3 linked regions of the Caenorhabditis elegans genome follow. The protein of the gene in region 1 purifies or fractionates together with the protein of each later gene. This does not show direct contact. Each region holds a gene or a part of one and is shown in the gene's direction. Other genes may lie near its edges. The genes, in order: phy-2, ccg-1 and T16G12.1.

Region 1 (10,407 bases):
TTTGGAAAATGGTTGGTACTTTAGCTGCCTACCTGAAAGGTTAAGATTGGGCTAGGCGCGTAGGTATAGGCTGCCTCATTGGCAGGCAGTACCAACTACGTAGGTTTGCCTAAGTCTAGATCTAAATCATTTTGAAGACTATTAAATGTTAGACTTCTTCCTATTTATTTTGTTCGCCCTGTTTTCAACGATGGAAAAATGAATTTCCAATATTTTTAATTTCAGAAACCGTATCAGTTGTAAAACAATTAATAGTTTTCTTCCGGTAATACCGGTCTCTGTCTCCTTTTCCAAATATCCTTTCATCCATCACATCCTCAGAAAGTTTTTCAATCCGCTTCTCCTCCTCCCAGTTGCCTAGTGCTTCTGGTCTTTCTCTTTCACCATCTGGCACCCGCTGATCGAGTGGTGGCGTCTCCTCATCCTCTTTCTTATTCACAAACATTACTACCAAACTGCAGCATCACAGTCACGTAGGCATCGGAATATGCACGTCGACTGCGCATCTGACACGTAGAAGTTGGAAATAAAGGAGGAAGAGAGAGACTGTGCGACAGGGTGTAAACCGTCTCGGCTTCTTCTCACGTCTGCGCCCCCATCTTATATAAAGATCTACACACTTCAGCGGCTTCGCGCCTTTTCAGCTTCCGTTTTTGGTTTTTCAGTCCGAAAAGTTGCCTTTTTTTAAGTCAAAAAGTGGCAAATCGCCAGTTATTCCTATATATATTTTCAGAAGATATCCAAAAATGTTTATTCAACAAATTTCTAACTATTCTTACACAGCTTTTATTGCATTCAAATGTCACAGTGATTTGAAAATGCAACATTTCTTCAATATTTCCAAATGTGTCGAAATTTTTATTTTAGAAATTTGGAAGTTTTCAATTGACTCATTTAATATTAGGTTAGGAAGTGTACCAAACCAAAACTTTGACTGAAACCTTTCAAAAATCGTAGAGGTGATTCAGAAAAGTTTTTAATTGTTTTATTGTGATTTTCGGTGATGTTGGACCATTACAAGTAAATTTATGCTTTTGCTAGCACACTGAAATTGTCAGGAAATTTACCGAAATTCATTTAACATTTATTTAATTTTTTCAAGACCTGAATTATCGTTTTGGAAGTGGAGCAACAAACTCCGTCTAAATCAAGATTAACTTTTGTTTTAATCAATTTAATAAATTTAATAAATAGCAAAGATCTATGAAAATATATCAAAGCTTTAGACTATAGTCTATAGCTGAAAACGCTGAAAATCAAGTTTTATCTGATTCTTTTTTTTTTCAAATTCTATGATTATTAAAGAATTTCATCATAATTTTTCTACTTTTAGCTTTTTATCTGACTTTGCAATACATGTATTGGTTAAGAAAACTCAAAACTTTGAATTCCCCCTAATTAATTTAATTAAATTGAAAACTAATTAATACCCAATTTCCTCATCAATCTCCAATTATCCTCACCTTCCCATTTTCATTCTTTTCATTTCCACGTCATCCATAAATCTTGCGCGATTCAACCTAGTTATTGGTATTGTTAATGGAGGTCAATCATCCACTGGATCGAGAAGACACCGTCCGTTCCTACGTGCAAAATCTAATTGAGAGATCGGAAACGCAGGCAATCAGGAAGTTTCTTCTTCTTCGAGAATCGCGCGACGCGGCGAAAAGACTTCCACATCACCTTAGACGGTCTGATTGCTTTTCTCTGTTTTTTTTAGCGAATCCGCTATTAATCTTGACATATATTCCAAAGTTTGAAGGTTTTATATTCTTTAGGAATGTGTACATTCTGTATTTTTAGTTAAAATCAAACTTGAAAATGTAAAAATTAAAAATCGAATGTCAGTGTATCATTTAACTTTTTTAGTCCAGGTTTTGAAATTTATAGTTCTAAAAATTCTAAGAAACCTCATTTTATCTGAAATCATCATGCTGTAAACAAGGGTTATCAATCTGTCTTGCTGTTGAAAATAATATTATTTATTCGCATTTTATCTAGTATATTTTTACCATTTTCTATTCTCTATTAACCATATTTACAGAATTTTAATAAGGCATAACCAAGTGAAATGTTTCCAAAAATCAGATGACCATACAGTTTTGGAACACTATGAACCTAAAAATTGAATAATTTTTTTAAAGTTTTGTATAAAAAGCTTGAAACGCATTTTGAACACATACATTTTCCACAAAAAAATACTGAGTTCATCTATATCTCTGTAGTGGTAATCTATAAAAGATTGAGATCTAAGGTGACCTCAGATATCCTTTTATATTTATTTGGTCTTTGAGGCACTAATCAAAACTGGAAGAGATAGTTTTTTGCGGTTTCATCTAGATTTATTCCTTCATATTTTAGAACTCTTGGAATTAAATTATTCTGAAAAAAAAAACCATTTTTTGAAGCTCCAGAGATAAGGAAAAAAGGATCACACAATAAATCACGTAGGCCTTTATGTAGGTACATACTTGTCTACCTGCCTACAAGGCGACGGACGTGCCTACTGGCAAAATGGGAATGAACTTTTCCCATATAGACAGGCGGTGTCTGGCCTAACTCTATCCTGCCTCCAGACAAGGTTGACAGGTGAATGCTAAACTCTATTATTCTTTGTCTATTCTTCTTTTTCATAAATATATTCATATAAATGTGTCACACAATGCAACTTTTGTTTATAAACTTCAACATCCGTTCCACGTACACCTCCCTCTTCATCATCATCCCCCCTCAAATTGTAAAAATATACAAAAAGTGCTGGTGCAGACGGCTGCTCTCTACACTTCTCATCTGCTGTGTTCATCTTTTTCTCGTAGTCTCTCACTCTCTCGCCACCGATTTTGACCTCGAACATGTCAGTTGTGCACTGATTTTGACCCCCTATTTCTCACGTTCTACAGCTTTTCAAATTTCGGAAACAAATCGATTTGTCTTTCAGAATGAGAGCAGTTTTGCTAGTCTGCCTTTTGGCAGGACTTGCTCATGCAGATTTGTTCACTGCAATTGCTGATTTGCAGGTGAGTAGTTAATCTATGATTATGTAATTAAGTTAGAGATTTCAGCATATGCTGGGAGCAGAGAAGGATGTAACAACAATCATCGACCAATATATCGAAGCAGAGAGAGCCAGGCTGGATGACTTGAGGAGGTGAGTACTGTAGAACTGCAAAATTGAGTAGGTTCCAGGGATAGAATGCCGTTTAGTAACCGAATTGTAGATTATAACAAAATTTCCAATTCTCAGAATCTAGAATTAAAATTTTCTGATTTTCATGTGTTGGGAGAAAATAAAGTTATGTTTCTTCAACAGATGAAAACATTTGCTACAGTAAAAATTAGTTTTTTGCTGATTGTTGAGTTTTTGATTCAAAATTGATTGAACTCCATATTTATCAAATGTCCCCTCTGGTAGGTTCGAAATATAGGTTTTTTTTTAAATTTTTGATAAAAAGTCTTCCACGTGGGCACATCTTACGCCTGTCTATTGCCTACACGATTACCGATTGACAAAGTACACAAAATCTATTGAACTTTTAACAAGTTATTTTTGATTAGACAGTCCGCAAGGGCCACCAAAACGCCACAAAAAATTCTTAAATTTCTAAATTGTACACACACCAAGAATAAAAATGTTCGCCAATACCAAGAAATACGTGATATCATGAAAGTCTCACTTTAACAAAAACTAAACATTTTCGGACATCAAGGTGACTCAAATAAACAAATCATTTTACAGATACGCTCACGAATACGTGCACCGAAACGCTCACGCCGAATCAGTTGGTCCAGAATTTGTGACGAACCCAATCAATGCTTATCTTCTCATCAAAAGATTAACAACCGAATGGAAGAAAGTCGAAAATATAATGTTGAATAACAAAGCTTCAACTTTCCTCAAGAACATCACTGATAACCGAGTTCGTAGTGAGGTCAAATTCCCAGGAGAAGAGGATTTGAGTGGAGCAGCAACTGCTCTTCTGAGACTCCAGGATACTTACAGTCTTGATACTCTTGATTTGTCAAATGGTATTATTGGAGGAGAAAAGGTTTCTAATAAGCTTTCTGGACATGATACTTTTGAAGTTGGAAGATCTGCATATAACCAGAAGGATTATTATCATTGCTTGATGTGGATGCAGGTTGCGTTGGTTAAGGTAAGCCTGGTTTAGAAAATACGGCTTTCAAGCCGAACCTAAAACCAAAAAATATGAGCACTTAAACGCGTAGGCAGGCACGCAGGAAGCGAAAAGCATTTTCAACTCCATTTATTCGTATAAAAAGTAAGTTTTTTGCTGCTTGAGATTTGTAATTATGCACCACTACGAGAACTATCATATTAACGGTGGTTTCTTTGTACTTACTCAATTTTTTGATTGATGATCTATCGTACCTTAAGCTGGACTTTTTCCATAGCAAAATTCCAACAACAAATCCTAATCAAACATTTTCCAGATCGAAAACGAGAACCCACCAACAATTGAGGAATGGGAAATTCTCGAGTATCTTGCATATTCTCTTTACCAACAAGGAAATGTTCGTCGTGCACTTTCTCTCACCAAACGACTCGCAAAAATTGCTCCAAATCACCCGAGAGCCAAAGGAAATGTGAAATGGTATGAGGACATGCTTCAAGGAAAGGATATGGTTGGAGATTTGCCACCAATTGTTAACAAGGTTTTTTGCTTAGTATTTTATAATTTAAATTTTTGTTTGCAGAGAGTTGAGTACGATGGAATTGTTGAGAGAGATGCATATGAAGCTTTGTGTCGGGGAGAGATTCCACCAGTTGAGCCAAAATGGAAGAACAAGCTGAGATGTTATCTGAAGAGAGACAAGCCATTCCTGAAGCTTGCTCCAATCAAGGTCGAGATTCTTAGATTCGATCCATTGGCTGTTCTTTTCAAGAATGTCATTCATGATTCTGAAATCGAGGTTATCAAGGAGTTGGCTTCTCCAAAGGTGCGAAAATTAGATTATTCGATAGTTAAGTTAGAAATAAAGTACGGTGAATGGGGATTTTGTTTTAAAATACAAAAAGAAACTGAAATTCCAAAATACCACCAAAATATGGCAAAAATCGAGAAATTGCTAGATTTCAAATGTGACTAATATTTTCATTCGAATTCCAAACATCATCCAAAATGAGAACCCCCTTGAAAAATAATGTTGTTCAAATATCGATTTTTGTGTGGTATTTCTGAAATTCTGACTATTTTGGGTATTTTAGTACAATCTTCCCACTCACGCAACTATACCTTTCAGTACAATACTGAAACTAGAAATTGTATAATTTTAAGCTAGAACGTGCTACAGTAAAGGATTCTGATGGTAGCCTGGTTACTGTAGACTATCGAATTGCCAAGAGGTGAAAGGTATTAAACGTTTAACTGTACAGTAACATGCTGTGAACTTAGAAAATTAGATATTTGACTTACTGATTTCTTTTTCAACTTCTATTCTTTCTCCTTTGTTGCCTGAAGTGTGTTATTTTTTAGCTGAAGCGAGCAACTGTCCAAAATTCGAAAACTGGCGAGCTGGAACATGCCACGTACCGTATCTCAAAAAGGTTTGTGCTTAAGTTTTTTGGAACGGTTTTGTTTGATTTATTTTGAGTTGAAAGATTAACTAAATCAAGTTGATTATCAAATTTCTTGAATCAAAAATGTTTCAGTGCTTGGTTGAAGGGAGATTTGGATCCAGTTATTGATAGAGTCAACAGAAGAATTGAAGATTTCACCAATTTGAACCAGGCTACTTCAGAGGAGCTTCAGGTAAGCAAGAGCCCTGCAACATGGCTAAGGCCTTTAAGAAGGCACATAAATGCCTGCGTACCTGCCTCATGCCTTTATGATAGGCGTTAGATAGGCAGGCAGGCAGGTACGTGCTTGCCGACTTTGTGTTGAAACGGAAATGCGCACTATAGTTATATATTTTCCTTGTGAAATCCTCTCGGGCAATGAATTTACATTATTTTTTCGAAAGTTGCCAGTTTCTCGTAATTTTGAGAAAATGTAAAATGGGGATTAAATTATTTCATAGACTTTCTTGATAAACTTTTAATTTTCAAAGACAAAACTCGAAGAATTCTTGAAATTCTAAAAATCGAAAAATCGTTTAAAATTTCCATTTTTAGATATTTTCGTTTTTTTACAAAAAATTGAAAATTCCTTGTGTCCATTTTTGAGTTTTCTAGGCTAGTCACATCAGCAAAAAGGTCTAAAATGCCTTCAATGCCTACAGCCTAGAATATAGGCATTAGAGGATTCCCCAAGTTTTACTAAAAATATTAATTAAAGTTTATAATATTTTCAACAAAATTGTTGCTGTTTCAGGTAGCTAACTACGGTCTTGGAGGTCACTACGACCCACATTTCGACTTTGCCCGGGTAATAACAATTTTCAATTCTTTTTTATAATTTCAGATTGCAAATTACGGTCTCGGTGGTCACTATGAACCACATTACGACATGTCACTGGTTGGTTTACTGCCTTCCTGCTGACTTGTCTTGCTGCTAATTTTCAGAGAAAAACTGCCGAATCGTACGGTGGAAATGGTAATCGTATTGCCACTGTGTTATTCTATGTGAGTTTTCGATTCAATTTTAATTTTCCGTATTTTATAGAAAGAAGAGAAGAATGCATTCAAGACGCTCAATACTGGAAACCGAATTGCGACTGTTTTATTCTATGTGAGACATGTTTCATTTATAATTAATGGTTAATAAGATTCCATCACGAACTTTTTATTTGCATGAAAATTCTTTAGCTGTTATTGCATGAGGTGTGCTAATCCAAAAGTATGTGATGGAATCTTAACGTTTGAACTTTTAAATTTGTGATTTTAGCGCGTGGGAGCTGTGAGAAAACGGAAAATTTTTAAGGGGTCTTAAAATTTTACTGTTGATATTTAAAAATGAGGTTTTATAGTTTTTTGGCTCTATCGAACAATTTTTATTATTTAATCTAATAATTATCTTCTTTTTATGATTGTTTAGCTGAAACTGATGTATTTTCTAATGCCTACTTCTGGAAATTCGATAAATTCGAAACTGAAAATAACAATATCAAAATTTACTTTAAACTCAAAGAGCAAAAATCGTTCAAAATATAGTCAAACATTCACTCTCAAGATTTTGATTTTTTTGAAATTTTCAAACTTATTGGGTTCATAATTTTTACAAATAAATAGATGAAAAAATAGTAATATTTGAAAAGTTTACAAACTGATGTTTATATCCTTTTGGTACTGACCTAAATTACGAGAAAAGTGTGTGTGACGTCACATTTTACAGACGCGAAAACCCGACAGTTACTGTAGATCAAACACATTGTCAGATAACTAGAACGAACCCTCTGTTTCTCCTTGAACCAAACAATTTTTTTCAGATGAGTCAACCAGAACGCGGAGGAGCAACCGTCTTCAATCATCTTGGAACTGCTGTATTCCCATCGAAAAATGATGCTCTCTTCTGGTATAATCTTAGAGTAAGTGTTCATTTCTATTTTTCCTCGCAATTTGGAAATATTTCAGAGAGATGGAGAAGGAGATCTTCGTACCCGTCATGCTGCTTGTCCAGTTCTTCTAGGAGTTAAATGGGTCTCAAATAAATGGATTCACGAGAAAGGACAAGAATTCACAAGACCATGTGGATTGGAGGAGGAAGTTCAGGAGAACTTTATTGGAGATTTGTCCCCATATGCCAATGATCCATAGATTTGATTTTTTACTCTCTTTTTTGTTTTTTTTTTTAATTTCATTGTTGCTTACTGGTGTTTCACGGTTCCAATATTTTATTTGATCGCCAAAAAATGAAAGTGTTCTGGTTTTAAAGAATGAGTTTTTGATATTCTGAAATCTAAATTCAAAGCTGTTTATGCCTGCTTCATGCCTGCCTACATCAAACCTACATCAAACCAAGATTATAGTCATGTCTACTTCATGACTATAATCTTGCCTATCTATGTTCCTACCTATTCAAAATATAGTCCAACATTTAAAAATCCTGTGAAAAAATCACGGTTGTGGCTTGGATTAAAAATGATTCGATTCAAATCAGCATAAATATCTCCCTACGTGCCTGCCTGCCAACAACTCTAACAAACATGTAATTGTACCTGATACATACAGTTTTTCCTTGCCATACTTTATTAAGTTAATCAAAAATTATTTCAAAATTATATGGACAAATTAAATATTATTAACTTTAAAAAGACTTTTAATTTTATTATTTTCCTTATTTTCTTCTTCACTTCCTTGCAACGCACTCTTTAAGTCATTCTGGAAATTTGTTTTGTTGAACTCGATCTCGAATTTAAGCAGTTCAATCATTTCGTTTTTCTGAAATTATAGTTTTAAAATTTAATTCCATGTAAGAAATCCGAACCTCTTTAATAATCTTTCTGGCTTGTACCAAATCATCAACCAACTCATTTGCATCTTCCTCCGCAAATTCCAATGATTCCAGTTTTTGGCTCAATTCCTTTATCACCTCGTTTCGCTCTTTCAGTTTTCTCTGAAGTCCACCAATTTTTGCCACAAAATCTCTTTGATGCATTCGAATTTTGATTAAATGATTGCTGATTTTACTTCTCTCTATTTTCATCTCCTTCTGGTGCTCTTTAATCATTTCCTCACTAGACTCGCACATTAATTTTAGTTGGTAATGAGCCTGCAAACGTTGTATATAAAAAAGAATGTCAAGATGCCTGCCTACATGCCTGCCTACCACCTAGCTCTATACATTTTGGCATGCATTCAGGAATTTAGTGAACCTCTAGAAAGTAAAACTGGGAAAATTTCCAAAGAAAATTTAGTTAATTTTCACCAAATTTTCGAAAGTTTTTTTTTTTAAAGTCAAACATTTTCCAATAAAATATTTCGCATTTTTTTCAAAAAAAACACATTTTCCCAAAAAAAATTCGATCCGTTCTACTGTCTATTTTAAAATTTAATAAATCTTCTCAGCTTTAAACACCTCTTAATTTTTTATGAGGGGCTCCAATAAATAGCTTGAGGGGAACACGATTATTGGAATTTACTTTTGAAATTGAGAAATTTTCAGACTCTCGAGAATTTCATTGATAATGCTAATAAAATATTCAAAAATATAAAAAAAAACAACAAAATTTACCTTTGCCTTTTCCTCAACTATTTGCAACATTAACAGAGCTACAGTAACCGCGTACAGTAACCCGAATAGAATCGGGAAATTATCCATTGAAAGTGTCATATTCCCGTCTTGAAAGATATTAGTTAACCACGACATTATAAAATAAAAAGATTGTCTTATAAGATAAGTAACAAACGAATGAATGAGCCGGTCGTCTTAGTCAACGGGTCAAGTGTTTCAGCCGCGTTCGTGAATCAATAAGAGCTGGAATTGCCTCCTGGCATTAGTGACTGTAGTCCACACTTTCTACTGCCTAAATTATCCATACAGGGCAATGTGATCAATTGATCAATAGGTTATTAAATATAACTATTTTATGCAGTGCAGTGTTTCATCCTTTTGGGAAAATTCACGGAATCAACAGGTGAATTTATGTTTTTTAGGGTGTGAACACAAATTGTTAATGTTATAATTGTCCTGGAGAGCCTTTAAACATTTTACAATTAATATATTATAAATAATACGTAGAAAATCAGTATTTGAACAGGAAAGTAGACATTTTAAAAATTTGAAATTTGAAAAACCGCCACAAACTCAAGCAACGACACTCCGAGATTACGAATCGCGCGTTGTTTACCGTAAATTTACACTAATTTTTGTTCTCTGAAATTTTTTTTTAATTGAAAAGCCGTCCATTTATTTATCTTTTTTTGTCAAATCCTTGTGTTTTACGTGGATGTTTGCATTTGTTTTTTATTTATTTAATTTCGAATCACTCAACTTTTTATTGATTTCTGTTCCTCAGGTGATGGCTGCGCGTAAGCTGATCGCACGTATCAACCCAACGAACAGTGCTCTTTTCGTCTGTGATCTTCAAGAGAAGTTCGCGTAAGTTTTGAAAGAAACTAGTTTATGAGCAAAAATAATTTATTTAATTATTTTCAGGTCAAATATCAAATACTTCCCAGAAATCATTACAACTTCGCGTAGATTGATCGATGCTGCCAGAATCCTGAGTATTCCAACCATTGTTACTGAACAATATCCAAAGGGTCTCGGACACACAGTTCCAACTCTCAAAGAAGGTCTCGCCGAGAATACTCCGATCTTTGATAAGACGAAAGTAGATTTTCAGATTTTTGTTCATAATTCAGTCTTATTCCAAAAATTTCAGTTTTCCATGTGCATTCCTCCAACTGAAGACACTTTGAAGAAAGTTCAAAATGTGATCCTTGTCGGAATCGAAGCACACGTATGCGTTCTTCAAACTACATACGATCTTTTGGAACGTGGCTTG
Region 2 (11,356 bases), 3.1 Mb from region 1:
ATTTTTTTAAATTAAGAATTATCCCGTTTTAATTTGTTTCTATTTGTTGTTTTTAAAGCAACTAATTATTAATTGTATAAATGAAGAAGTTCTGAAAATGAATTTATCGAATTCGAAATGAGTGTGGTGAGTGCGATTTTGAAAAGTACATCCGATTGCAATCAAAGTGAGATTAATGGGGTGCTGGCTTGAACTCAAAAAACTGTTTGTTGAGTCTGTTAAAACTTGAATATTTTAAGTTGATATTTGATCTGCTTATTCGGAATGCAGTAGAGCTCAAATATAGGAAAAATGTTTTACCATCATGGTGAAACAATTTTTTTCAATTTAATTATTGAAAATTTTAATCTTTGTAAATTGTTTTCTTATACTTTTCTCAAATCTTTTCATTTTTTGCAATAAAAAAGTGGAACCAAATGTGCCTGTTTTAAGAGAATGTTACGTAAACGTATGGAAAAAGTTTGGGATGTTGCATTAAAAATTTACAATGTATAAAAATAAATGTGTCTCAATTCTGTATATCTATTTAAGTTAGTAACTGTAACTTTGAACACAGAATAAATGAACATTGTGAAACTGGAAAAAAATACAGAAACTTTTTAAAGCAATTGAAAATTTTTTTAAAACGTTTCAATAAACCATCAAGGCATGTTTAAAACTCATTTACCGATTCAAATAAATTTTTTTTGTTTCTAAAAATTGAAATAGTGACGATCAAGTAGACAGAAACAAATATTTTTTTCTAACCCCTTTGTTTCAAAAACTTAAATATATAGGTTTTTTAACTTTTTTCTACAGAAACAAAGTAAATAATAACAGAAAAGTTATCTAAAAATGAAATCTAAACATATCTAAAAAATGGGAAATTATTGCAAATAGTTCGAATTTCTTCTATTTGAAAACTACTTGAAACATTATGGAGATATTTCATAAAATTGATTTAAAAAATAAACCAAATATTGCACTGTTTTCACATTTTTAAAAATGAAACTTTAGTATTTCCATTTTAAAGACACTTTTTTTTGAAACTAAAACTTCATTATAATTGCAGCAATTGACATAGATTTTTCCTTGAATTTTTTAGAAAGTTTATTTCAGATAATTCAAAATGTATTTCAGATTCTTAATTTGAATTTTAAGATAATACAAAATTTTATTCACTGTTTCATCAATCTCACTTAATACAGGACAACCTTGTAATCAACTGAAACGTTACAACGTATAAAAAAACAAAATATTTACAGTTTCAATACATTGTGATATATGAATTTTTGAATGTCGTTCATTTACTTTTGATCAATGTCCAAAAGAATCTACCTTTTGGTTTTGAGGATTATTTTTCAGAAGATTTGCAGTCAAATACTTGTTCATTAGGTCCATTGATTTCTCCAAACTTCATTAGGAAATTGAAAGCATTTTTTTTATAAAATTAACAAAAAGTTCAAGTCCAAATCTTTCACACTCTCCTTTAAATTTTCTAAATTTCGATTTTTAATTAACAATACTACCGGTAATACTAGATGAGTGTTTTAGAACTTTTTAAAAATTTAAGCAAAATTTTTCAATAGAAACTTGTTTCAGGAAGTTTTTAAAACATTTTTAGTTTAGTTTAGTTTAGTTTAGTCAGTGGTGAGTCACGGTTTGTATTGAAAATTGTTTTGAACCAAAAATTAAATCAACAGAATTCAAATTCAATTCAATTCAACAGAAACATATTGCGAATTTGTACGGTATTAGTCGTGGGAAAAGAACGAATAATTCAGCAACTTGAACTTTGCCACAACTCAAATTTAGAAAAAAAAATACCGTTTCAAATTAATGTTTTAGAATGTGAAGTATCAAGTCTTTGTTTTGACGTTTCTGAGTAAAAGTTTTATAAAACATTTCATTAGAAAAAATTCATTCAGAATTCAAAAGTTCAGAACAACATCAGAAAAAAAAACAAAAGAAAAATAAAAATGAACCACGCTTTTGAATATGTATATGTTGTAGAAAGAGGAAACTAAAATTAATTTTTTTGTATTTTTCTGGGGTTTTTTTATTTATTTTTGGCGTTTTCATATCATTTTTCACACAATAAAAACACTTTTTACAGTTTCAAAACCTCGATATTAAAATTTAATTAATTTTTTTTCAAATTTTGTTGATATTATTAATAGTACATATATTTTTCAATTTTATTGTAGCCTTCAGTAGGAACTTGTTTCATATACTTTTTAAATACGTTTTCGATTGAAAATGAAAATAATTCATTCTTCAAATGTCTTTAAACAGATTTCCAAAATTATACTCTTTTTTCGGAGGTGGAAAAAGGGGAAGCTTGAGCATCGTCGCAATTTTAATTTAAAAAATTACCATTCCAATATTATGTGTTTCATGCAGTTTTTAATAACATCCTTTCTATTTTCAAAAAATTCCAAAAATTGAACTTTTCCACAATTCCAATGAAAAAATAGTACTGTTTCAAACTTTTGATTTACAACTTCAAGTTGCAATTTTAATAATCGTCAGCTTCTATAAATAAAAAATTGAATCGAGAATTTCTGCATAAACATGTTTTTTACAGTTTTTAATTACCGTATTTCCTGTTTTAATAAAAGACTAATAAAGGAAAAACGGTCTAATTGTAAGTAGAATGAAAAAAGTCACAAGTTTTTCGTTAAATTTAATTTTTGAATATAAATTTTAATTTGATTTCAAAGCTATATTCTAAATGATGTAGAGTAAGAAAAATAAAGTTAAAATCACTGTTTCACAAAATGTTCAAAATAAAAACTTTCAACAAATTTCCATTGGTTGGTTTCTCTTCTTTTACTTTTTAGCATTTTCAAAGTACTTTCAGCGGTTTCAATATATTGTTATAAAATGTGAAATAACGTTATTTTTAATACTAACATATTAAATGTCATAAGTCTAAATGAGTTTGTTAGCTGAAATTTTGATTAAAACTTCAATATAAAAATGTTTCCAGTAGTTTTTAAATATACGTAGGACAAAAAAAAAGAAATTTTTGAAAATAAAGAAAATCTGGCTTCTTTGGTACTTTTCGTCTAAAAAAACTTTCAACACATTTCCATTAGTTGTTTTCTCTTCACTTTCACTTTTTAGCATTTTCAAAGTACCTTCAGCGGTTTCAAAATATTGATATAAAATGTGAAATAAAGCTATTTTTTAATATGGTTTTTTTTTAATAAGTTTTTTTTCATAAGTCTAAATAAGTCTGTTATTTTTGAAAAAAAAGGATAAAAAAGAAACATGGATTTTTGGGTATTTTTCATTTGAAATCAATAATTTAAACTTTATAAAATATTTTGAACAATTAGATCATATGATTAGAAAATTTTAGAAAATCCGAGGATTTATATGCTTAAAATATTAATTTAAATGGCATTTCAAAACTATATTCTAGGAAATTTTAAGTAAGAAAAAATTAAATTAAAATTACCGTTTCACAAAATTTTCTAAACAAAAACTTTCAACACATTTCCATTGGTTGGTTTCTCTTCGCTTTTACTTTTTAGCATTCTCAAAATACCTTCAGCGGTTTTTCAACACACTTTCATTTTTTCGTCAGTATTTTTTATTCTGTAAATTTGACCTCTGGCTGATAACTGATATGTTATTACTTTCCCCTATGACTCACCCAGTGACACATTGTATCATGTGGCAGAATCTCAAATTTCACAACAAAATGATTCAATTCGTTTACAAAAAAAAATCCCAAACACTTTCTCGACCTCTTCCGGATATCAAAATAACAAAAACCTTTTCCTTTCCAACTCCGCCCTTTTTTTGAGAGGGATAATAGGAGTTATGGAGGGCGGAGAGACAAAGAGAAAACCCCGAAAGAAAAGTGTATAAAACGTCTGAGCGACGGCGGCTGGTCGCTCTTAGTTGTCAACAAAACAAATCTTGACAGCCAAGCGAAAATGATGAGGAGTTCGTTTTTTGTTCTTCTTGCTTTGATTGCCCTTTCTCAGGTTAGTCTGTTTCGAGTTCTTTGTAAAAAATAAGTGATTTTTATCCTAAATTGATATCATTTTCATACTTTGTTTTATATTTTTTCGGCTTATTTAGTGAATTTTGATCCAAGTTAGGCCACGGCGCACGCGGTGCGGTTGCGTCGCGGTCGATACGCAATATATCATCAGTATCAGTATAGAGCAGCCCAAACATTTTGAAATTTTTTGGCAAAAATCATGACGCTTCAGGCAACTAATTTTACACTAATTTTTGTTTGACACTGCAAGAATATATCTAAATTTTTTCAAAATAAGAACGTATCGCTATGACACTAAAGTCGCAAAACATCTAAAAATAAATCATGTTGTTGAAACTGCACCTAATGTTTTTTTTGGATTTTTGCGTATGTAAATAGTTTTCGAAGAAACAAAAGTCATCAGATACTGCAAATTAAAAAAAAAGAACTTTAAACAGTCGCCGATTTATTTTCCAAAATTGATTATCGAATTACACAAAAATTAGCGTCTAATCCAATGACACTAAAGTTGCAAAAAATCAAAAAAAAAATCATATAGTTGAAACTGTAATCTGATTTTTTTTGAACCACCAATTGTTTAATTTAGAATTCACAACTTTTTACAAATTCACAAAACTATGCTGTACCTTTTTTGGGATTCTGTTTTTTTAATATTTTACTATTTTTGAACAAGCAAAAGTCATCAGATACTGCAAATTAATAAAAATGAACTTGAAACATTCTTTGATTTTTTTTTCCAAAATTAACTATCGAATTACACAAAAATTGGAAAGTTTCGGCTGTGTTGCCGCTCTCGAAATGCAACTCAATTGCTCCGTATCACTCAAAACTAAACTACCTTTCTCGAACTAAAACGGTCTAATGTAATGACACTAAAGTTGCAAAACATCAAAAAAATAAATCATATAGTTGAAACTGTAACCAAATTTTTTTTGAAACACCAATTGTTATATTTAGAATTCAAAACTTTACACAAATTCCAAAAACTAGGCTTTGCATTTTTTGGGTACCGATTTCGGTTTTTTTCTTGGATTTTGCAAGTTTAAGCGTACGAGCAAAAGTCACCAAACACTGTAAATTAAAAAATGAACTTGAAACCTTCGCTAATTTTTTTTTTCAAAAATTTCTATACAAGCTATCAGCTAGATTATCGAATTGCAAAAAGTTTGAAAGTTGCGGTCAATACGCGATGCGACCGCTCCGCTTCACTCAAAACTAAACTACCTCTAACTTCATTCAATTTCACTCGATTTCTCCAGAATTTTTGGAACAAATTCAAAAATGCTCGAGCTCAAAAAAAACAACAATTTTCCCCCAAACTTTCACGTATCCCCTGGGCCTCCTGGTGCTCATAAATTTCAGCGCGTAGTGTAATCAACAGACAACGACACAAAATCTCATCTTCTTCCCCCTCACCTAGATACTTCTTTTCAGTATATCATTTATCACTCTGTGTTATCAAAAAAAGAAAGAGAGAAAAAAAGAGACAGTTGCTGTTATTTCTTTCATTTTTCCCCGCTCGATTGTCGTCATTTCAATTTGATGTAGTGATCAATACGGAAGGAACACGGGAGTTTGAACAAAAGATTAGAGAAGGGGAAGTGTTGAGCAAAGTTTTAATAGTGTATTTGACTAAAAATGATATTGAAAGCCTCACTTTTTCAAATATTCAGAAAAATGCATAACACGAAACAGATCGAATTTTAAAAAAGTTTGATTTTACAAATTGTGTGCCGCATTTTTCTCAGATATTTTATAAGAGTTAAATTTCTTTTATTATTACTGATTTCTCTGACCTTAGTTTTTTGTTAAATAAAATCAATTTAAATAACATTAACTTAATTTTTCATGAGTTAAACATCACGATTGTCTCCGATTATATTGTAACAACTTATTAGACATTTTGAAACGGGAAAAATTGTGGCACATTGAAAGAAATTTTAGCTTTCTTTTTTTTTTCTAATGTCTCTATATAAAGAAAATTTTGAATAGGTAATTCATTGTGTTTTTCAAACAGTTCCAACTTTTTGAGACGTCTAGTTAGACTGACCGATTAATGCGTTGTCAAATTAATTAATTTTGAAAAAATTAAGAATCACCATCTCAACATAACTCTCAAAACTGTACTACGTAAATGCATTATATGAAAGTGCAAACAATTTTTTCAAAAATTCAAATTAATTTCAGACCAAATCAACTTTTCTCTTATTTTACAAAACCCAACAACTCATTAATATTTCAAGAGACAAAATATTTTAAGGTAACTTTTATGAGTAGAGTGATTTTTTTAAACAAGAAGTAGTATCAGAGACGTCTGCAAATAATTTCTGAACTAAACTTTTAAAATTTCTTTACATTTTTTTATTTCAAATTTTTTACAGTTTCAATTAGTGCATATCATTTGGGTTGCCTTTATTTTTATAATAACTGACGATACGGCAATATCTGGGAAAATTTTTAATGGAACAATTGAAACCTGCACAGCTGTACCGCTTAAATGTAATATATGAAACAGTTCCCGAATTTCAAAAACGGTTTTTTTTGTTGGAAAATGTGTTGACTGTTCCTTTTCTTTGTTAGTAGCAGCTTGAATTTTCAACTTATAATGGTCGTGGATATGTCGGAACAGTTTTCCAATTTTTGAATATTTTATACAGTTTTATTTTCGAACATAAATTTCAATAGTTCCAATTTTCCACAGTTTCTTATTCCTTATTTATATGTCACTCAAATTATTTTCAGCGTTAATCGGAATTAATCGGAAAATTTTGGGGGAAAAAAACCAAAGCACATAAAAAATCAGCTTCCTACTTTATGTTGCAATGTGAAAAGGTTTCAAATTTTTTTACAGTTTCAATAAGTGTATATAATACGAGTATCCCTTATTTTCATAGTAATCTAGACATAGTCTTTTCCAAAAATCCAAATTTTCGTAAGACGAATAATTCGATAACACAGTACGAAAAGTTTTTTTTTTCTAAATCTAAGATTCCTAGTTTTGAACACGGAAATTTTTTTGAAATATCTCTCATTTTTGAAGAAAAAAGTTGTTGTCAAGGCTATATCTGCAAAACTTTTAAATAGAAAATTTAAAAAAAGATACCGTTTCAACAATTCTATATCAATCAACCTGCTTGCTTCTTACTAATTTAATTAGTATTCTTCAAGGCCATAGTTCGTCGTGATGCCTCCGGTCCAACACTTGTGCTCCGTGACAACTGTAAGATCATTCCAGCCGGTGGATGCTCCTGTGACGTCAAGGAGGGAAACGATGAGGTTGTGATCCGTGAATATGACAGTGTTGATCAATGTAAGAAGTCTGTGGAAATGGCCACAGCTGAGAACAAGAAGGATTTGAACGAAGAAATCAAACAAAAATACGGAGATTTCAAGGAAAACTGTTTCCCAAAACCATCGGGTGGATGCAAGTGCAACGTGGATCTTGGACATGGTGAGGAGGTGGCCGAGTACTCCGCAGACGCTGATTGCAAGAAATCCATTGAATCAGTGACAGCTGAGCACAAGAAAGAGCTCAACGAGGAGATTAAGGAGAAATTCGGAGCATTCAAGGAAAACTGCTTCCCAAAGCCTTCCGGTGGATGCAAGTGCAATGAGAAAGACGCCAATGGAAATGAAGTTGTGACTGCCTACAATAACCCAGATCAATGCAAAGTTCGTGGAAAGAGAGATGTCGGAGCAACAGTTCAACGTCAACCAGCCAATATTGCCAGAGCTAATGTGAAAGATGTGAAGCAGGCTCAGCCAAATTATGACGTCAGAGATCCAGTGAGGTTAGTTGTTGCAACTAAAAAGTCAGCAGCATCGATACAAGAAATTACTTAAAACTATTTACAAACTATTGGAAACAGTATTTTTTCTCGAATGCATGTTCAACAAACTCCAGGATTTTGAAAAATTTGAAATAAAAACCCTGTTTCAGATAATTTGTACGAGTTTCTGAACAATTTATTTTTTCGATGCCACAGTCGGTTATTTTATCCAATTTGAAAACTTGAAATTAAGAAAAAATTAATGAGCTCAGAATTAGTTTTTTCTGGATTTTCTTCCAATTTTCAGCTGGCTCTTTTTAGCTAGAAATTGAAGTCAAAATATTGTTTCAGCAAATATTGTCTCGTTAACTTCCGAAAAAATAATGTTTTTTTTTCAATTTTTAAAATTAGAAATCTATATTTATAGATGGTGTTACCAAAAATACATTTTTGTACACAAAGAGCAAAATCATTTGGCCAATTTATATGTGTACACGACACAAATAACCAGAGTTCAAGGTGTGTTGAACCAGTCTAGTCAAATAAAGAATTGGAAAAAAATTAATGGTGTTTTTTTAACGTTTGGAATTTTTTGAATTGAACATGCAGTTATTATCACTAATTAATCTAGAATGAAAATAATTAAAAAAGATTTGAAACAGTAAATTGTTTTTTTTCAACTATTTTAAACGGATGTTCTAGTGCACTGCATTTCATTTCCTCTATGTTTTCAACTTGAATCGAAAATTCCTATAGACATAAATCCAGTTATTTTGAAAATTTGAATATTTTTGAAGCAGTGAAATTCGAGAAAACAATTTTCGCACTAAAATTTTTTCACAGTTTCAAATTTTAAACATTTTATAATCAGTATTTCCTCAATGTTAAGAAACTACAGTCAAAAATTTCCGAAAATTTGAATAAATCCCACAATCTAAACCCAAAAAATGTTTATCGTAAAATTATCACTATTTCACATAAGTTTCTATTCTAAATATTTTTTATAAAATTTTCTAAATCAATATTACACAATGTCAAAAATCTGAATTCAAAACTCGAACTTCGATGCTTAAAAAATACTCACGGTTTCAAATTTTAGTAACAAATTAGCGCTTTTTCTAATTTTTTTAAAAAATTGAATTATCGATGAAAAACTAAGATAATATGTTTTGTACCAAATTATATTTTAAATTAAATGTTCAAAATTGCAGTCACTATTTCTGACTCTTTAACAAAAAATATAAAACAGTGGAAATTTTTTGAAAAAGTAAAAGTTCTGGGTAATGCTTTCAAAAAGTTCGCAAAGCCCGTAAACTTTAAAAAATGGTAAAATTTTTTAAATTTTCTAATTTCTCTCGTGTTCAGTTTCATCTGTCTTAGAAGTTATCAAAATTAATCAAAAACTATTACAGAGAGCGCGCCCAAGCCAACTACGCCGCAGTCGTCGATGAGCTAAAGAACAAGTTCAAGGGGCTTAAGGAAGGATGTTTCCCAAGACCAAAAGGATGTCTCTGTGTTATTGGAAAAACTCCAGAAGGACGTGATATTACTGAGAGAAGAATGAAGGATGTTGACTGCAAGTGCAAGGAAGGAGAACGTGGACCTGAGTGCCCAGCTAACTAATTTTTTTTTTGGAACTTTTCAATTAAAAACAAACATTTAATGTTGATACTCTTGCCCAATATATATACATTCTAAAAACATTTATTTTTTGGGTTTTTTTGTGTAATAATTTGGACCAAATAAATTTTGCACTGAATGAATTAATTGTTCAGCATCAAACCCACTTGCAGTGTCTTTACAGTACCCTACCGTAGTCGATTTGGGAGACACAGATACCTCGAACAGATATTTATTATATAAAAGCTAGGGCTATTTATTTATATAAAAGCTAGGGCGGCGACTGTCGCCTGCTTTTCGCCTCAATCCGCGCCTCATGTAAATTCACGCCAAAATTAAAGTGAGGAGGCAGGTGTCAGGCAGGCGTCAGGCAGGCGTCAGGCCTTGAAACCACGCCTGCCTTCCATAGAAGCCCTATGAAATCCTAGTTTCAGTTCGTGTATTGTATATTATTTGGCCAAAAAAAATTTGCGATTTGATAAGATACAATTTTTGAATAAACTTTTTTCAACAATCATCTGTTTCAGATAGTTTATAAAACTTATAGCAAACAGCATTACTCAATTCTCAGAATTCCAGATGTGTTGAACAATTGTATTTATATTGTGAGTAGTATTTTCAATTTCGAGTCAGCATATAATTTTTATGAAACAGTATTTCTGGTTTTATTACCAGAATGGTTTTGTTGCACACGTTTTTGTATTTTGACAAAAGAACTTGTGTATTTCTATTCCTTTTAATTTTTTTTCTCTAATGAAGGGGTATTGTCTGCGGCCGACATCTACCGGGATTTGCGACAAAACAGAACAGAAAAAATTGAAATGTGCATGAAAATTGCATTATTTTGTTGCTATGCCATATAGAAAAAATTTGTTAGTCCGGTAATCAAATTACACTTATTTTTTTATTAAAAAATTAAAGAGTACTTTAAAAGTACTAAAATTAAAAAGGAGCCGTACTTATATCAAACTTTAATTTTAACTCGCGTATAGCTTAACTGTCTCAAACAATATTTTTGTTGGATTGTTGGTTGTTTTTTTTCATTTGTTAAGCCTTGAAATATTTTTTAGATTATTTTTTAGAAATTATCACCTCTATAGTGTAACAACTAATTTTAAAAATAACTTAAAACAGGAGAAAGTATTTTTAAAACTTTAAGCAAAAAATGTTTAGCCTTTTTATTTTTTCTAATGTTTCAAAGTGTTAATTTGATAGATAACACAAGTTTTTTTTACTAAAATTTTTTTAAACAATCATGAAATATTTATTTGAACAAACTTCGCAAAAAAAATCAAAAATTTTTTGGCAATTCTAGAGATGAAATAATGAACAATTAATTCCAAAAAAAAACCCAGAAAAAAAATTAAATTTTAAAAAAACGGGGAAAATAATCATAGAAATGAAAATCAAAATGTGATGGACGGGATATGAGAAATCACAAAAAAAGAAACAATGATTTTGAAATTAACATTTAAAAATTAATAAACCGGTATTCAGTCTTCACTGTCCAATGAAATAAACGCAGCATTATCATTTTCCCGATGATCTCTTAATGTTGTTCTCGAGTTATTTGGAGCTGATCGACGCCCTTTTGAGAATATTACACGATCCTGTAGCTGAAAAAATTATTCTAATTAAAATCCATTATTTTTTGAAAAAAGTTGAATTTTAAACTATAATCTTGAAACAAGACAGAAAATGTTTAGAAATTTTTTTTTTAATTTCAGTTTCATCAAATCAAGTTATAATTTTGAAAACATTTAAAAGTAATCAATATGTTGTTGTCTGTGAGTTTCCATATAAATTGCCAGGAAAAGGCAATTTGTGTCGATTTACAGAGACTCTTCAGCTGACTACTCAGATAATAATTGAACTAAAAAATATTTGTTTTTTTTTCAATTTTGTATTGTTTCATTGAACCAACAACTTAAACTTGATGAAAGTTTGAAACATTCATAATAAGAGT
Region 3 (8,170 bases), on another chromosome or scaffold:
TTCTACCTGGTGGAAGGTTGGCCGCGGCGTGATCTGATGATGAATCAGGAGTCGTCGTGTGAGGATCTCTGTATCCAAGTACATTGTCATGGAAGTCTGGATTAGGCATGTCGGAGTCGATGCCGTCAAATTCCAAAGCAAGAAGTCCAAGGGGGAAGTGGAGCATCTTGACGTTCATACGGGCTGATAGAGTACGTGATTTTGCGATGAGTAGCATTGTCTCGTATTGTTCGTTCGGGGTACTGCAGAACGCATCGAGCGGGAATGTTGGCCGTCGTGTGCGATCTTCGCAGGTGTGCTTTTCTGCGGCCACTTTTTTGTCTCCTGGTGAGTTGAGAGAGTCTGATAATCCTTGGAAAGTAGGATTTTTAAGTGAGATAAGCTGGCATACGGAGAGTAGGTAGCACTTTTCGTTTGCTTTGAACCTAGCGGTGCGAAGTTCGTTCGCGTGATTGGTTCTATGAACTTTCGCAATGGAAGGCCTCTTGAGGTTATTGGGGTCCTTCCAAGACTTGCCCGGAAACATTGAGCACCTGATTGGTATCATTCTGTTTACGATTTTTGATATATTTAAGAGAGAGTGTGTGAAGGCTATTTCTCTCTTGGGTTGGTGATCAATGTCCAAGATGGAATTATCTGTAGACAACGTATAGATGATGTCGCTAGAATCCCAGACGTAGCCCAAGAGTTTGATATTTCTGGACTCTGCTCTATCTTCGCGAAGAAGGTGAGCCATGATAGAGCTTATATTTGTAGCAAACTCGCTCAGGTTGACATCGCGCTGTGGGGCCTGCTACTTCTTGGCTTGAGCGCCTTGCAGCTGTTGTTGTTCCTAAAGAAATGAGGGTGGAATTTCATTAGGATGTTGGCTATATCTCACCTTGCGGCGCTGAGTGCCGGCCAGATTGTCGGTGACTCCGACTTCCAGGCGGTTTCCACAGAGCTTCACCTTGTCCTCTTCGGGCTCTCCATCCGACATAGTGGAAGCAGTCGGTTGTAGCGTGTCCTGATTGGATGCACAACTGGCAGATGCCCTGCAATTAAAAGCTCTGTTGGAGAGGATTTGTTTTACGCTGAAACCTCCCGAAGAAGAAATTAATTATTCCATGGGAAAATTTGAAGATGGATTCCCTGTGATCAGCGAATTTTTTGATTTTTGAAATCGCTGTGGGATTTTGAATTAAAATCTTACGTGGCTTTTGTATCCTGCATAAGGTTGGCCAGAAGTTTCGGGAAGTTTGACAACTCGTGTTGGGACCTTCGTGCTCCTTGGCTTGAAGGGTGACCATGAGCTGGAGCCTTGGATCCATGACGTTGATATCCTTGTGAAGGATGGACATGGCGCTCGTGAAGATCCTTATGAGCATTGCGGCCTTCGGACTGAGCAGAAGTTAAGTTCTGCAAAGGAGTTTTATTATTTTCAGGAAAAAAATTGGCGAGAGGTTCCCCTGCGACCAAGGTTTTCTTTTACGTTTTTGAGATACGATATTTGAAAAAATAAAATCCTTACATGGCTCTGTGATCCGAGAGAAGGGTGGCCATGGACGTCCGAGCCAGACGATGCTCTTTGGGAATCCATTCTGCGCTCGTGAGGTGAAGGCTCAGCGGTGGAATCCTGTAAAAGAAGTTAATTATTTCGGAAAAAAATAGGTCAGGGGTTCCCCTGCGACCAAGGTTTTTCTTTACGTTTTTGACAATAACGAAATAAATAATTAAGTTCTTACCAAGTCGGAGGAGCCGCTTGAAGGGTTGCCTGTTGGTTTGGACGGCTTGACAATGCCGAATGGGGGTCTTGAAGACATTTTCCGTCGAGCAAGTAGTTTTCTGAAAGAAAAAACGAATTAATTACGAGTCTCAGGAGGAGGAGACGTAAAAAATCGACGGAAAATGTTTAGATTTAATAAAAAATCATTAAAATGCAAAAAGAAATGCGAAAAATATTCGAAAATCGACGAAAATCATGACGAAAGATTTTGGGATTCGATTTCGAAATTGCGAGTGTGCGGTTGCGCGTCGCGGTGTACACAGAATCTGTGCATACACCGTTGCGTACCGTACTCCTCGAAGAATCTTAATTCCAACTGTTGAAGGTTTTGAGAGGTGATTCAGTGGATTTTGTGATGGAATCGTTGGAAAAAAGATAAATTTGCGGAGATATCGAGGGAAAATTGAATTTTCAGATCATTTTTATCGAAATTTTGTGCAAAAACGAAGATTTTGGAGGAAATCTCTGCTGAAAAGAGATAAATCGACGAGGATGGACCCGCCACGCGGTTTTCTTGAGAAAACAAGTCCTTTGAACACGAAAATGACGACAAAAATGCGATAAATCGCAATTTGACTTCAGCTAATCCTAGAAATTGCATCATCTGTCGACATAAAATTATCTAAACGCGGAAGGGAGGGCCGAGCAGAGACATTGAGCCTAGATTTCAGATTTTGACTGAATTTTTAGCACATTTTATGACGAAGCAAAGGGAATTGAGCTGAAAACGACGAAAAATGGGTAGTTTCATCGAGATTCTTCAGAGAAGGATGCTCCGGGGGGAGATTCTCTTCAGAATCGAGTTTACGCAAGATTACGCAAGATTTTTTGACCAATTTTAGCTATTTTAACGCGGAAAACTCGTGATTGAGAGCGATAAAAGGCTAATGATACCAGTTGCGAGTGTGATAATCGAATTGGAATCAAGATTACACGTAGAAAATCCAGATTCGTGTGTGAAAAAACGAAAATGAATTGGAGGACGACAAATATTCGAAATTCGAGCGGGAGAGTCGAAATTTTTTCGAAAATTGACAAATAAAACCAGATTTTGAGCATGATAGAGTCAAAATTTAGCTTTTTATGACTGTAAAGATCCATTTTCGAATGGGATAGTCGAAAATGAACCTAGAAAAGGCGATAATTGAAAGAAATCGACTTACCTCTGACCGCTGGAAGCCGCGCCACGTGCCTCCCTGACTCTGGATCCGTTTCCGGCTCGGAACTTAGTGATTCACGAGCCGGTTAGGTCGATGCACCAATGTTGACACCCGCAGTCGCTGGGGAGTCAGACCCAACGGGTGAGAACGGCGAAATGTGTGTTCGCGCGGAGGACACGGAGCTTGAACGAACGGCGGATGACGATGAGCGGTGCAGAGGGAATAACAGTACACTTTTAGATAAATCCAAGTTTATTATTGAATAAATAAATGGAATTATCAACGGGAACAAACGGATGACGTGGGGACGGGTGGCATCCGTGGTGAAACGTGTGAAGACTGAATGAGTTGGCCTAAAAAGGCATCTGAATATTTGTGTGGATTTACGGGAGTACGACGCTCCGCAATAACGCGAGTGTGCGGGGGGGGGGGGCGCACTTGCATTAGGAAATACGCAAATGGCGGTAATTCAAATAATAATATTTAATTAATTAAAGAATGGAATGTTTCTGAGTGAACGAATGGAACAGAGAGTGAGCGACTCATGCGGATGGTGATTGTGGGTTCGTGGGTGAACCTGACCAAGCGCCTATATCCGCAAAGTTGGGACGGACGGGCTCTGCGGAGCCCAAGTGACAACATTTATGGGGTTTTTGAACTACTATAAAATATCTTTTAAAAAAATGCCCACTGATATTTTTCCATCATTCACTAAATTTTTAACATGAAGTAATTATAAAAAATTGATGACTTAGCACTTGAACCAGTCATCAGTGAGACTAAAAGTCATTACTATCTTTTGATTACTAGAAACTCTGGAAGGAGAACCAAAAAATCACATCATAAACCATAAATTGGATTTAAATCGGTTTTGCGGTATTTGCGAACATTTGTTTTTAAAAACTGTAATCTTCATTAAATGCTCTAGAGATTCTCCAGCATCACTACCGATTCCCCAATTAGCGGACTCTGTCCCGAACTGACATTTTGGGAATTAGTATTAAAAGTGTGTCAAAAGTGATAAAATTGATAATTAGGTTTGTCATCTCGTTGTGATGTCACATCCCAGAAACCGATAAGGAAAGTACAGTGGCTGCTGCGTGCTCCGGAATAGGGAGAGCAAACTCAAAATTTCAAAGATAAAATCGCGAGAGGATTGTATAATCTACTCTTTTCATTTCGTGTGCTGCCGACTACGAAATGCGGCGGAAACTGCTTCTCTTACTTTGTTTTATTGGGCTCTTTAGCTTGATCTCCACTGCTCCTGCACCGAATAATGTTGGTTTGGAATCTGAATTCACAGGTTTGTCTACTTTTTAATAATGACGCTAGACTGCACATTCCCCCATAATTTGAAAAATTGATACTATATGTGCTTACAAAAAGTTAAACTAGGTGCGAATTTCCCTTGTGAATTTTGAATTTCTATGTGAAGCTGAGAATGTCCCACTCAACAAGCTACTTGATCTCCAAAATTGAAAGTAATCTAACGTGAAAATGTGAGAATTTTGGCATTTTTTATTGCCACTATGGCTCACTGAGCCGTTAAAGCTAAGCTTGTTACAAAATAGACTAGAAGGAACAATATAGTAATTTCTCATTTCAGAGGGACATGCTGAAACTATAAATTTGGAAGAAGTCGAATTCAATCATCCATCAATCTTGCCGGAACACCCAGATAATTTTAGACAGGATAAACTTGCAGCCAGGTTATTTCTTTTTTAGTTCAAAATCAAAATATTTAAAATCAAGTTCTTAAATTTACAGTATTTTAATTTTGGTGAAAAGTGCAAAAATTATTGAACATATAATTACACTACTCTTTGCCTCATTTGAGTTTGGAATCGTAATTTTTTTACTACGACGTAAAATGGTTTTGGCAAAAAAAGTTGTTATAGAACAAAAATCACTCGAAACATTGTTTTCAAATGTTCAATTTTATTGCAAAAATTGATAAGAAAAGTTTCGTAAAGATGCCGTATCTTGCATGTGACAGCTATCAACTATTCTGAAATTTTTATTCTAGAACTCATTGTGCTCTGAAAACATAATCATTACAAAAAATAATGAAAAATGAATTTCCAGAAAACGCCAAAGCCTTTATGTAACAAAAACACGTCTCCCACCAAATCTGTATGCCATTGACTATAGTCTATGGTTCCAACCATACTTCCCAAGCCCTGGAGTTCAATATGCACCAGGTACTAAACTTTTTATTACTTTTTCGAATGATGCAAGTTAACATCAGTATTACAGAGAAAAACTTCACATTCGACGGAAGAGCATCGATACAAGTGGAAGCATTGGTCGCATCGGACAGATTCATTCTGAATGCCTATAACTTTAAAATTCAAAGCTACAAAGTGGTTGATATCGATGGAACTGTAGTGCCAATCAACTCAATTTGTAAGGAATTGAACGTATATTGATAAAAAATACAAGAAAAGATTTATAGCACAAGATGACACTACGCAACAGTTATCACTGATTACAAATGCAAATGGTGTGGTCGCTGGTCAAATTTACAACATCGAATTTGTCTACACCGGTATTATCAATCCATACACGGATGGAGGGGTTTACTACACTTCATATAATGATCCACAAGGAAATACACAGTAAGGGGAAACAATGTAGAAAAGTGGTGGCGAAATTCTGTAACTTTGTGCAAGTAAACTCTCCAGAAAACATACAATTTATTGTTAGATTAAGAGTATATCGGTTAAGGGAGCGACCTCTGCTTTTTAAAAACTCGAAATTGGAAAATAAAATTCTAATTAAGAGTACCGTACTTTGACAGATTGATTATTATGTAGTCGATTTGCCGAAATTTTTGAAGCTCTTTTTTTATCGCTCATCACTTGTTAAATGTTTTGGGCAACATAATTGTCGAATTGCCAAGGTAGGCATAAAACAACATTTTTGGGGCCTGCCACCTACGTGTCTATAAAAAACACTGAGCCCAGCCAGTGCTGATATACTTCAAGAAACGATAGCTGAAGTCAATATTTTCACACTGATTTCTTGATTCGACTCAACCTCTTTTTAGCTACATGATTGCTACACATATGGAACCGTTCTCCGCTAGAAAAGTCTTCCCATCTCTTGACGAACCATCTTACAAAGCGGTAAGTGTTACAGAATAATCTTAGACAAAACAACTAAAATTAATGAAAAATTATTCTGTGACACTTTCAGAAATTCACAATCACTGTGCAATACCCAGCTTCCCAAGTTGCTCTTTCAAATATGATGGAAACAGAACCTACAAAAATTGAGTATGATTATCAAACAATTATTTTTAAAGACTTTATTTAAATTTTTTGCAGTAATATATGGAGCACAATTACATTCCCACAAACACCAAAAATGTCTTCATATCTCATTGCATTTGCAGTGGGGCCTTATGTGAATTCTCAATATGTCAATAAGCATAACACTTTGACAAGAGCATGGGGATGGCCTGGAACTGAACAATATCTTCAGTTCGCTGCTCAAAATGCTGGAGAATGCTTGTACCAATTAGGAGAGTATACTGGAATTAAATTCCCACTCTCAAAGGCTGACCAACTCGGAATGCCTGAATTCTTGGCAGGTGCTATGGAGAACTGGGGATTGATAATCTACAAATACCAATATATTGCGTATAATCCAACGGTATTTCTATTGAAAAAATGTAGAAAATGAAATGGAAAAATGGGATTTTAGACAATGACGACGAGAAATATGGAAGCAGCTGCTAAAGTTATGTGTCATGAATTGGCTCATCAATGGTTTGGAGATCTTGTGACAACTGCGTGGTGGGATGATTTGTTCTTGAATGAAGGATTCGCTGATTATTTTATGACTTTTATACAAAAATCTGTCTACCCACAGCAAGCAACTTATTTGGTAAGTTTTTGGGATTCAATCCTAGATTCAGTTTCATTTTAGACTGTTGGCTCATATTTGACACCAACAAGATTTTACATTAATTTTTCAAAATAAATTTTAAAACTGACAGAGAAATCTGCTTATCGTAAATCTCCACAAGCGTATATCTAAAATTAGAAAAATTTTAAATAACTTTTACAAATTGATAATCTGTTCCTCTTCAAATGCAAAGTTTATTCGATTTCAGGACACTCTTCAAGTGCTTGACGAGCTTCAAGTTGGGCTCACCGCAGACGTCCGATATGATGCTCATCCATTAGTTTATCCGGATGGACCTGCATTCGATGATATCACATACAACAAGGGAGCTTCAATGCTTCGAATGCTTTCAGATGTTCTAGGAGCTGATGTTTTCAAACAAGGAATTCGAGCATATTTACAAAAGATGCAATACTCAAATGCAAATGATTTTGACTTGTTCTCCACCTTAACTGATGTAAGTGTTTTTAACTAATTGGAGTAATTAAGTAAGCCCTATTTTTTCAGACCGCAAAATCAAATAATATATTGGATTGGTGTGGTCTTCCATTGAATGTGACAGATTTCATGCAACCATACATACATCAAACCAATCATCCACTTATTCGATACAATAACAATCAGAAAATCGGAGGATCAACTTTCAGCCAAGAACCGTTCTTGGATATTTCCGATTTGACTGCAACTCCATGGAATTACACTTGGTCAATTCCATTAACATCTGCCAATTTAAGACATGCGGATCCTTATAAACAGTGGCTTCCAAGACAACAAGGATGTGCAAATATGAATGAAAATATTCAAGAGGAACGTATCAAAGAGCCCAATAAGAGAGCTGTTCAATGGGAGCTCACTTCGATCACTTCAGCCACTTATGGAAGGTTAGTTTTATTCTAAAAGTTGAGCATTGTCTTGTGGGAAGGTTTAAAACTATTCATTTGGTGTTGAAATAACCAAATATTGCAGTAAAACATCCTTTAAAAAATTGAAACTTCTGCATTCATAGTCAAAAGTGGCTATTATTCATTTTTTACCTAACATATATTTCGACGTTACCAGCATTTTTTCCAAGAGTTTAATATTTTAATTGCATTTGAATTGTTCATAGTGTTAATGGCTTAAGATTATAGGAGTTTGAACTTGCAGCAATTTTCGAAATTATTTTAAAAAAACAAAATTTGTTTTTTTTTAATTGGCAATGTGCCAAAAATTTGGCTGAAATCAGTTTTAACAAATAATTATCAACGAATGACCACTTCAGAATCATCTACGACGACATCGGTTTTGATCGAATTCTGAAATTAATCAAGCAAGACGATATCAACGATAATTT

What was found.
Region 2: the proteins of phy-2 (region 1) and ccg-1 fractionate together in Caenorhabditis elegans (co-fractionation; one large-scale study listed by BioGRID). This does not show direct contact.
Region 3: the proteins of phy-2 (region 1) and T16G12.1 fractionate together in Caenorhabditis elegans (co-fractionation; one large-scale study listed by BioGRID). This does not show direct contact.

What each region holds. Positions count from the first base shown.
Region 1 is NC_003282.8:12,208,519-12,218,925, reverse strand, and holds phy-2 (Prolyl 4-hydroxylase subunit alpha-2), read left to right. Parts: upstream 1-2,938; 5' UTR 2,939-2,939; coding exon 2,940-3,017; intron 3,018-3,062; coding exon 3,063-3,148; intron 3,149-3,736; coding exon 3,737-4,154; intron 4,155-4,452; coding exon 4,453-4,674; intron 4,675-4,716; coding exon 4,717-4,959; intron 4,960-5,245; exon of another isoform or gene 5,246-5,266; intron 5,267-5,495; coding exon 5,496-5,566; intron 5,567-5,671; coding exon 5,672-5,771; intron 5,772-6,332; coding exon 6,333-6,386; intron 6,387-6,623; coding exon 6,624-6,689; intron 6,690-7,386; coding exon 7,387-7,485; intron 7,486-7,531; coding exon 7,532-7,714; 3' UTR 7,715-7,829; downstream 7,830-10,407. Other genes in the region: F35G2.3 (uncharacterized protein), read right to left, coding at 8,189-8,338, 8,385-8,669, 9,132-9,218; marb-1 (Isochorismatase domain-containing protein 1), read left to right, coding at 9,919-9,998, 10,056-10,233, 10,285-10,407. UniProt on the Caenorhabditis elegans protein: Catalyzes the post-translational formation of 4-hydroxyproline in -Xaa-Pro-Gly- sequences in collagens and other proteins.
Region 2 is NC_003282.8:15,268,335-15,279,690, reverse strand, and holds ccg-1 (Conserved Cysteine/Glycine domain protein), read left to right. Parts: upstream 1-3,886; 5' UTR 3,887-3,929; coding exon 3,930-3,980; intron 3,981-4,034; exon of another isoform or gene 4,035-4,055; intron 4,056-4,270; exon of another isoform or gene 4,271-4,294; intron 4,295-4,368; exon of another isoform or gene 4,369-4,389; intron 4,390-4,481; exon of another isoform or gene 4,482-4,502; intron 4,503-4,651; exon of another isoform or gene 4,652-4,672; intron 4,673-4,851; exon of another isoform or gene 4,852-4,872; intron 4,873-5,033; exon of another isoform or gene 5,034-5,054; intron 5,055-5,629; exon of another isoform or gene 5,630-5,650; intron 5,651-5,845; exon of another isoform or gene 5,846-5,866; intron 5,867-6,085; exon of another isoform or gene 6,086-6,106; intron 6,107-6,421; exon of another isoform or gene 6,422-6,445; intron 6,446-6,447; exon of another isoform or gene 6,448-6,469; intron 6,470-6,606; exon of another isoform or gene 6,607-6,627; intron 6,628-6,745; exon of another isoform or gene 6,746-6,766; intron 6,767-6,894; exon of another isoform or gene 6,895-6,915; intron 6,916-7,148; exon of another isoform or gene 7,149-7,168; coding exon 7,169-7,791; intron 7,792-7,798; exon of another isoform or gene 7,799-7,826; intron 7,827-7,978; exon of another isoform or gene 7,979-7,999; and 11 more. Other genes in the region: Y73F8A.5 (uncharacterized protein), read right to left, coding at 10,884-11,006.
Region 3 is NC_003281.10:10,045,699-10,053,868, reverse strand, and holds the start of T16G12.1 (Putative aminopeptidase-2), read left to right. Parts: upstream 1-4,011; 5' UTR 4,012-4,125; coding exon 4,126-4,228; intron 4,229-4,531; coding exon 4,532-4,634; intron 4,635-5,010; coding exon 5,011-5,126; intron 5,127-5,181; coding exon 5,182-5,331; intron 5,332-5,380; coding exon 5,381-5,543; intron 5,544-5,974; coding exon 5,975-6,053; exon of another isoform or gene 6,054-6,123; coding exon 6,124-6,203; intron 6,204-6,254; coding exon 6,255-6,582; intron 6,583-6,633; coding exon 6,634-6,816; intron 6,817-7,045; coding exon 7,046-7,294; intron 7,295-7,344; coding exon 7,345-7,718; intron 7,719-8,098; coding exon 8,099-8,170. Other genes in the region: T16G12.3 (Nuclear receptor corepressor 2), read right to left, coding at 794-832, 881-1,034, 1,193-1,398, 1,511-1,615, 1,725-1,802. UniProt on the Caenorhabditis elegans protein: Putative aminopeptidase which plays a role in oocyte maturation.